Linked DNA regions of Kluyveromyces lactis. The protein of the gene in region 1 interacts with the protein of each later gene in a pairwise test. Links are inferred from orthologs where the notes say so. Each region holds a gene or a part of one and is shown in the gene's direction. Other genes may lie near its edges. The genes, in order: KLLA0_C17380g, KLLA0_A03905g and PEA2.

Region 1 (3,766 bases):
TTATTCTTTCACCTGGCCTTGTATCGGCATGATGTCCATTGTTTCCCCAATCATTGGTCTAAGACTACGTAGTAACGATCCAACAGTTGCCAACCAATACGTGAATACAGCCATTTTCTCCGGTATGGGATATTTCGGAGCTGCATTTTTCCTATGGATGATTCGTGGGTATCTAATAGCTCGTGACAAGCTCGCCATGGTTGCAAAGACAGGTCACGACGATGGTGAATTGCATTTACACGTCACGATTCCGGAACTCTTGAAAGGTCTACTGACAATCGGACGACTACCAAGAAAAGTTTGATGTATATAATAGAAAAAGATATACTAAAACAAAACCTAATAATATGCATGTATATTCTAGTATAATTCAATGCTATACTATAATTGCTCACACTCATTGTTGCAATGCTTTCGTAAGTGCGATGCTTAGCATACATTTTGCCCAAATCACCAAGGTATTGGTATCCGAAGAGTTGTATTTCCAACAGAAATCGCTGCTTTAGCTCAGTTGGGAGAGCGTATGACTGAAGTTCATAAGGTCCTGTGTTCGATCCACAGAAGCAGCATTTCTTTTTTATTTTTTTTATCGATTCTCTTTTCTTCTCATCACGTGAAAGAAAACGCCAAACTTTCAATAAAATTACGCGTTATCACGAAGAACGAGGTGTAGTAAGAACGCTTTTTTTCTTTTGGCTGAAAAAACGATGAGTTCTTAGGTATGGAAATTGAAATATTGGAATTAGAATCTTGTTTCAATTCGAATTAAACAGTGGATTAACTCTTCTTCATGAAAGAAAGTCAATTGTATAGAATCAAGTATTCATCATTACGAAATAAGTGCGAGTTGTTGTGAATCAGCGGTAGCGGTTTGGTAAAGACGATACAAGTCTTAAAAGGAGAAGGCCGTCAATTATTTAAACTTGGGAAAGTATCGAATTGAGTTATTTACAGACACACTGGTTTCTTCGATTTCACTTCCCTTTTTTGACCATTATACTTGAAACGAGTGTCCTCAGTGACAATTGCAATTGACATTAATACGTGTTCTTAATTGACCATTGTTTGATAATTTGTTTTCATTTTACCGTTCCAAATGAAAGAGGGTGCTAAGGAACTGAAATATGCACAAAAAGTGCAGATCCATAATTATTATGTTGCTTTAAAACAATTCTTTGAGGTTACCGGTGGTAGCCATGATAGATCAATGACATCGCGTGCTCAGAAAGCACGTTCAAAGCTGTTAAAACTTTCTTCGTCACAGTTTTTCGAGTTGAGTACTGACGTCAGCGACGAATTGCAAAGACGAATTGATGAATCACAGCCACAACATGACTATTTAGTTCCTAATGAAAGTTTCCATGCAAAGAGGAACCAGGCAAGACAAAAATTGGCGAACTTATCCAATGCGAGATTTAATGATTTGGTCGATGATATTCTTTTCGAAATCAGAAGACGTGGGTTTGACACGTTACCTGAACCAGAAGAAGCAGATTATCAGGAATTCCCAAATGCTGATACTGATGAAGATTTTAATTCGAATGACAAGGCAGAGGTCTCCTCTCCTGCATTACACGTACTTGATTCTAAGCCATCGCCAATTGTACCTAGCAGTATAAATAATACGTCGGTGGAAAAATTACCAGAAGATGAGAATTCTGCACTTAATGCAACTTTGCAGACTTCTACAGTCATTCCAAAGACAGCATCAATCGACTGGAGTTCAGATGAAGAGGATCACAAACCAGAAGCTGATGAGAAGGAATTAGCTAGTGAAGACAATGACGTTATTAAGATAGATAGAGCGTTTTCACTAAATCAGTCCCCGGTCATTATTCCAGATGAAACACAAAGCCCACCTCAACCTACAGCTTCCTCACCTGTGGGAAATAGAAGTCCGATTTCCATAGATGACCATTTCACGTTCTCAGAGAGACCGTTATCACAATCCAGTGAGGCTAGAACTCCATTGGCTCAAACTGCTGCCACTACAGCAATGGCTGCAAGTGCTGGGTTGTCGCCTTTCACCAGTAATAAAAATAAAATGGGATCCTTGTCTCAATCGGTAGAACGTAACAAAGATCGTGATATAGAGCTATTAGTTCTGGAAGGGAATAAGTTGGACAGTACCATTACAACTTTGGAGAGAGAAAAATCAGAACTTTTGAATCAATTAGATGAATTGAAGACCAATAATCAACGATTAACAGAAGAAGTTCAGCAATTGAAACAGAATGCCGACCAATCAAGTACTACTAAAGCTCTAGATAGTAATTTCCAAAAGGGAATGTCCGAAATGACTACTCAACTAAATCAACTGTCAATAGAAAACGAAGAACTCAAACAAGAAAAACTAGAACTTCAGCTGCAATTGAAAAATATACAGTCTCCAGTTAAATCGATTGACGGTAAATCAGGGAAGGATGCTGCCTATTGGAAATCAAAGTATGAAGACGCTTTTGCTGAAAAACCTGTCAGAACAAGCTCTTCTTCTATGGCCCCCATTTCAAACAAGCAACTTTTCCCTGAAACTAGTATAATACCGTCAAATCTCATCGACGACTTGGATTCCAAGTTATCACAAATACTAAGCCTCATTGTGTCACCTGAACCTCCAGTTTTGTTTTTATTCGAGAACATTGCTTCCATTTCAGAATATTGTTCAAAAATTTTAACTTTAGTTCACTCCCCAGATACAAAGACCATGAGACTAGTGTTAGAGAACACAATATCACATGCTATCACATCTGTGCGTTACTTCAGCAGCTATAAAACTCCATTATCAAGAGTTATTCTTGAAAATTCTGTTTCAGAAATCTCATTTGCAATCTATGATTTGGTTAAGACGGTAAATGGCGGATCCAATAACGATGAAATATTCACATCAAATAAATCTGGTGATCAACTGGATAGTCCACTTGGCCTCTCCATGCAAAATAGACAAACCTCGAATAACTTTGCTAAAGGTTTACACGAGGGAAGTGTTTTAGACAAACCATCACTTCTTCCTTCTCGGGCTGATAGCGTTGAAATGTCTCCGGTCAAACCTTTGAAAATTACCCAGAAAAAAAATACCGACGACGCGTCATCAAGGCCTGTTTCAGTTAGAAAGCCCTCTGGAACTGGCTTATTTACAGCAATGCTTAATGGGGGTATGAAGAAAGATAACGCATCAAAGAAATCCAAGAATATATTGCAGTTAGAATTACCTCTGGATAACAATTCCAAATCGGAAAGCAATGCTCCTATAATCGAACGCAGAGAATTGAAGACCATTGATGCAATTAAGTCTGCTTCAGCCAGCAATTCACTTCTACCTACTTCGCCACTTGCCAAAAAATCATCAGCAGTTGTTCCTTCTGACTTTAAAGACCCAAATCCTTTTGAGTTATCATCTCCAGAAAAGGGAAAGCTATTGCAAAATATTAATTCTGACATATACAACAGCAATGATGAAGAAACTGAAAGCGAAAGTGTAGAGGAGGAGGACGATGGGAATTCTACATATGAAGTGTTAAGACAAACCATGAAGCAAAAGCATCTACAAGAAGAAAACGGAACCAACGAAGAAAAAAATTTGAAAGGAATTTTTTCGCCAGTGGTACATCCACAACCTATTGAAGTTTCAACAGAGGATGTCGACTTAAATGAGAAGTCATTCAATTTTGAATCTGAAGAAAATGCTAAATCTGAATCTGAATCTGTACCTTCGATAACTGTAAACAAAAAGAATATAAAACTCGTTCCTATCCCTGCCGTTACTCCA
Region 2 (2,519 bases), on another chromosome or scaffold:
GGCGATGCCGCTGTTACGATTCAAAAGAGCGTAAGATCTTTCCAACCAAGAAAAAGTTTCCTACATGAGAAGAAGGGCACCGTGGTCATCCAATCTTTCATTAGAAAGCACTATGCTCAAAGAAAGTTAAAACAACTAAAATCGGAAGCCAAATCCGTTAATCACCTACAGGAAGTCAGTTATAAACTTGAAAACAAGGTCATTGAATTGACGGAATCTCTTGCTTCTAAGGTAAAGGAAAATAAGGAACTTGTTTCACGTTTGGAAAACTTGCAAAAATCTCTAAACGAATCTGAAAACATTAAAAGCTCTTTGGAGGAAGAAAAGGAAGGTCATACCAAGGCATTGGCCGACCAAAAGAGTATACACGAAGAAGAATACGGAAAGGTTAACGACCAATTGATTGCTGCAAAAGAAGAAATCATCTCTGCAAAGGCAGAAGTTGACGAACTTCTCAACAAGCAGAAGAACTTGAAAGATGAAATTGCATCCACTTTGGAAGAATTAACATCCGCGAGAGATGAGCTTCTAACATCTCAATCAGAAAACGCCGATCTAAAAAAAGAAGTTTTTTCTTTAAAGGAGGAAGTTGCACGTTTACAGTCCTCTATGCGCTCTGGTGTATATGTAGGAGGAGGCATCAACGCTACTCCGGTAAAAAACAGGCGCTTCTCGGCAAATAGTACTTTGAATGATGGCTCTTCTCCAAAACAATTGAATGTTGTTTCCATAAACAATAACTTCAATACTGAAGATGTTTCAGCGTTAATGTCTCAAATTAATGATGAGCTATACAAAATGTTCGAAGATTCGAGATCCCTCAATACTGAAATCATCGAGGGACTCTTGAAGGGTGGCAAAGTTCCTCCAACTGGTGTCTCTGTGAACTTGACAAGAAAAGAAGTTTTGTATCCATCAAGGGTTCTTATTATTATTCTAAGTGATATGTGGAGATTGGGTTTAACCTCGCAAAGTGAAACTTTCTTAGCTGAAGTTTTAGATGCCATACAAAAGATAATCTCTAATTTAAAGCCCGATGTTATGATTGAACATGGTGCTTTCTGGTATACTAACGTCAGAGAACTACATTCTTTTGTAGTATATGCATATGAGTCGATAACTACCGATGAAACGTACAATAGTGGCATGAATGAAGAAGAATACAATCGTTATGTCAACCTTGTTAAGGAACTAAAGGATGATTTCGAAGCTTTGAGCTTTAACGTCTACAATCTATGGATGAAGAAGCTACGTAAAAACCTTGAAAAAATTGCCGTTCCAGCAGTTGTTGTTTCACAGTCACTACCAGGGTTTGTTGTTCCTGAACCATCTCAGTTCCTCCAGAAATTCTTACAGAACAGCTCAACCTATAAAATGGATGATGTTTTAACATTTTTCAACAATATTTATTGGGCAATGAAGTCGTACGATATTGAAATGGAAGTCTTTGAAGACGTTATCACGAACCTATTAAAATTACTGGATGCTTTATGCTTTAATGATTTGATTCTAAGAAAGAATTTCTTATCGTGGAAACGTGGTTTGCAATTAAATTATAATGTCACAAGAATCGAAGAATGGTGTAAAAGCCACCACATTTCTGAAGTAAGTGTATGTCTTCAACATATTCTCCAAGCGGCAAAGTTACTACAGCTAAAAAAGCGTATTGTTGCCGATATTGATATCATCTGGGACATCTGTAACTGCCTAAAACCTATCCAATTGAAGCAGCTTATTACTCAATATTCTGTCGCAGACTATGAGGAGCCAATTGCTCCGGAAATCTTGCAATATGTGGCTGAGAAAGTGAAGAATGATACATCTAAAGCTGAAGTTGGGAACAATGATGTTTTCCTACCAGTTGATAATGGCCCATTCGAGGACCCATATCAAAAGGTTGAAGTAAGAGCTTTCGGTAAGATCGAAGCATACATTCCTGCATGGTTGAACCTCCCAATAACAAGAAGAATCGTCGAGTTGGTTACTCAATTTGTTGCTGTCCAAGAACAAGCAGAGTAAAGTCAGCTACCTTTTCAATTTCAATGATTCACATATAATATCCCCCGAGTATATAATACCCTTGTAATTTTTATGGATCCAAATAATGATAGTTGAATCACCAATCACCATTTACATATATTAATCAAGCTATACCGTCATAAAATTACCAGTAACGTCGATTATAATATTGTAAAAGCCTTTTCAAAGAATTATATATTTATATGTTTATACAAATTTGAGTATTAGGTACATTTTCTTTACCAGTATATAACCACATAGTGGTAGACGGGAATGAAATGCATTTCTATTCATGTCAGAAAAATGATGAAGCATGGCCAAATTAATGCTATAGTTCTGAGAAGAATAAGTTTATCTGCTAGATTTTTTAAGGTAAACATATATGATCAACAGAAATGCACATGCAAATGTCCCGGTCTAAATAGCATGTATCAAAAAGGAAAGAAAAAGCACAGAAGCTACTGTTAATGCCAGGCTTCCATGACTAATCCATATCGCAT
Region 3 (2,953 bases), on another chromosome or scaffold:
AAACCTGCACCACGCGGGGAAAGAGACCAAGTATCCACATCCTCTGGATCCGACCACAATAAATCACACATAGCACCTTCATGCGGTACCTCCTTTTTCCTATCGATGGTTCGTATTTCGTTGATTGATAAAACGTCCGGCGATAATCCACCATGAACACAGAAAACCTTGTTGTTTACAATGGCACCCAAGGGCAAATAGTCGAATACTTCGCAACAGTATCTCCATACGTTACTGTTACCATATTTCCTTACCACTTCGTCGTAAAACCCATAAACCTTCGTAATCTGTCTTGTTTCATGATTTCCTCGTATCAACACAATTCTATCTGGATACCTTAATTTATAACATACCAAAAGAAGGAAACTCTCTAACGAATAGAACCCTCTATCCACGAAATCTCCCAAAAAGATGTATCTATTCTTTTCAATGCCTCCACTCTTAGCAAAGAGAGTCAACAAATCATGCAATTGGCCATGAATATCTCCACAAATTGTGACTGGCGTATCCACATGTGTCACGTTAGACTCATTCATAAGAAGTTCTTGAGCCATGACACACAGCGAGTATATCGAATCCTCGTCAACATGTTTCCCCTGCCTTAGAGTCTCTATAATCTCATCGAGTTTCATCATTGACAGATGCTCAGACGACGTTAAAGTTAAAACCAACTGGAAGTATAAAAGATAAAAAAAAGTGATTCCCTGTTCAAGAACTGACGATATTATTCTATAGTGATGAGTTTGGATCAAATCCAACAAAAACCTACCTTAAACTAATCTAACAAAGGTAAACTGAATAGTCATCATTAACAATATAGGCTTAAAAGCTTCTTTACTTTCTTATTTTCCAAAATTCGATGAGATAGACAAAATGCAAGTATCAAGAGAAATAAAAGTATCAAGTATCAAAAGAGGTAACAACAATTACATTTTTCGGTTAGCCTGAAAAGTCAACTTGTCGGTCTGCGCTTTCCGGTATGTCTACAGTATATAGCGTAGTGTGGAATGCTTGCCTGTGTTGTATATGGGAATTGTTCAGAATCTTGCTTCTTCTTCTTCTTCTCCTTCCATTGTTTCTTTTTTTTTGCCTGTACTCTTTTTTCACGTTTCTTTTTATCAGTTTGCTTCCTTTTTTGTGTTTCGGCCACAAAAACGATAATTTAACGTGACATGCGGGTAATGAGGTGTGCTTATGTAAGCCTTCGGAAGATGACACCCAGACATCGGAATGGCGGTATTCGTGCGTGGTGATGTCAAATATCACGTGGTTGATAATGTGCTTGTATTACCCGGAAACTGCATGTATGTCCCGTGCGTGGTAATTGAGAAAGGCATTGATCGGAATCAACGCGTCTGGATAGATGAACGGAATGTTAAAATGTAAGTTGCTACCAAACCAAGCTAGATACTGATCGCAGCTAGCCCCTTGATAGAATGCTTCGTAATAACCTGGACCAATGGTACGAGTACAATACCTCTTTTGTAGAGAAATTGCATGGGAAGTACCCCAATGAACAGTTGAATGAATATTTGCAAACTACGAGTACGAATTCCCTGATATCCAATAGACAAAATTCGGAGTGGGATGAGCTTCCAATGGATTTGGATTCCCAATTGAAATTGGAATTTGCATTGTACTTGATTAATGAATCTGCTAACGGTTCTCTAAGTACTAAGGGAACTACTTTCTTACAAAAGCTTGGCTCGGTAGACGTTGACACGTTGAAAGAATTAGTCCAATTGGTACTAGAGAATGATAAATCTTTAGCCAATAAAAGCACTGATGAGGATGAGGGGAAAGTGGAACAGATCACCTCCTACCTGATCTCTAGCTCCATTTCTAAAGGTATCAATTTGGCATCAATAGACAATTCTTCCAACGAGGAGGGTGTACATGATCCAATCTCATTTTGTAAGAAAAACATCGACATCCTGTTGGATGCATACCCACAGAATTCAAGCAGTTCTTTGCAACACGCGCCCCTTTCTACCTCAGAATTGGAACTTAACGATATCTCAAAACAACAGGACCTACAAACGGCTATCACGGATTTACAACTTGCATACAAGTTCTTGAAATCGAAATATGAAAATGATAGAGATGAATACCAGGCGACTATAGAAACTCTGAACAAGACTAACAAAGAGCTTTCTGAAGAGCTCTTACACTATCATAGTAAGTTGAAGGAGCGCGAGGAGAAATCGAAAGTCACTTCACAGATGCAATCAATTCCAATGGATATCGATAGATCCTTCTCACAAGCAATTTCCGAATCCAGTGACATCAAATCCTCAACATCTGCTTCTAACCATCAATCTTTCTCAATGATGAAGCAAGAATTTAAACGAATCTTAGCTGATACTCAGTTAAGATACGAAAAAGAACTAGAACAAGAACGCCTGTTGAGACAACAGTTGGAGAACAAGTTGGAAAATAAAGGATACCGCTAATCGTTTTATGTTGCCCTTAACGATCCAAAAATACTAGCATTAAACTTCAATATATTGTTGAAATGTAATTAACTTTGTAACATTATCTAAGACAGAATTCCTCATCCATTTCAAACTCAAGCTGGAAACCATTTACCGATGGCTATTAGTCGTTAAATTTGTGTATGAACTATATGATACATAGAGTAAGGTGCCAATAATAAAGACTTCTATTATAGCAGAATGGATATGAAAAGACAATAAGGAAGGAAAGATAGAAGGAACAAAGGGTTTTCTTGCAGAAGACGAGACAAAACCTCCGAGAATCGAATTAGTGCATTGTTTAATAAAATAAAAAAATGAATTTTTATAGTACCATCCAATAAAACATCATAGCTTCCTGAATTCACTCAACACAGGGTAGATAGCTTCAAACGCTTGATAGATTTCTTCTCTTTGTTTGGCACCAGTTAAGACAATCTTGCCGGAAACGAAAATTAGTAACACAATCTTAGGTTTCA

What was found.
Region 2: the proteins of KLLA0_C17380g (region 1) and KLLA0_A03905g interact in a protein complementation assay, tested with the Saccharomyces cerevisiae proteins (2 studies listed by BioGRID). The link is inferred for Kluyveromyces lactis from reciprocal best matches to the Saccharomyces cerevisiae genes SPA2 and MYO2.
Region 3: the proteins of KLLA0_C17380g (region 1) and PEA2 interact in a protein complementation assay, tested with the Saccharomyces cerevisiae proteins (3 studies listed by BioGRID, with this or other methods). The link is inferred for Kluyveromyces lactis from reciprocal best matches to the Saccharomyces cerevisiae genes SPA2 and PEA2.

The regions. Positions count from the first base shown.
Region 1 is NC_006039.1:1,523,620-1,527,385, forward strand, and holds the start of KLLA0_C17380g (uncharacterized protein), read left to right. Parts: upstream 1-1,096; coding exon 1,097-3,766. Other genes in the region: KLLA0_C17336g (MCT family MFS transporter), read left to right, coding at 1-304. UniProt on the Saccharomyces cerevisiae protein: Involved in pheromone-induced morphogenesis and efficient mating, perhaps as a cytoskeletal protein.
Region 2 is NC_006037.1:345,318-347,836, reverse strand, and holds the end of KLLA0_A03905g (myosin family protein), read left to right. Parts: coding exon 1-2,019; downstream 2,020-2,519. UniProt on the Saccharomyces cerevisiae protein: Myosin heavy chain that is required for the cell cycle-regulated transport of various organelles and proteins for their segregation.
Region 3 is NC_006041.1:890,449-893,401, forward strand, and holds PEA2 (Pea2p), read left to right. Parts: upstream 1-1,436; coding exon 1,437-2,453; downstream 2,454-2,953. Other genes in the region: phosphoprotein phosphatase PP4 catalytic subunit PPH3, read right to left, coding at 1-635; SPT15 (TATA-binding protein), read right to left, coding at 2,823-2,953. UniProt on the Saccharomyces cerevisiae protein: Localized to sites of polarized growth and is required for efficient mating and bipolar budding.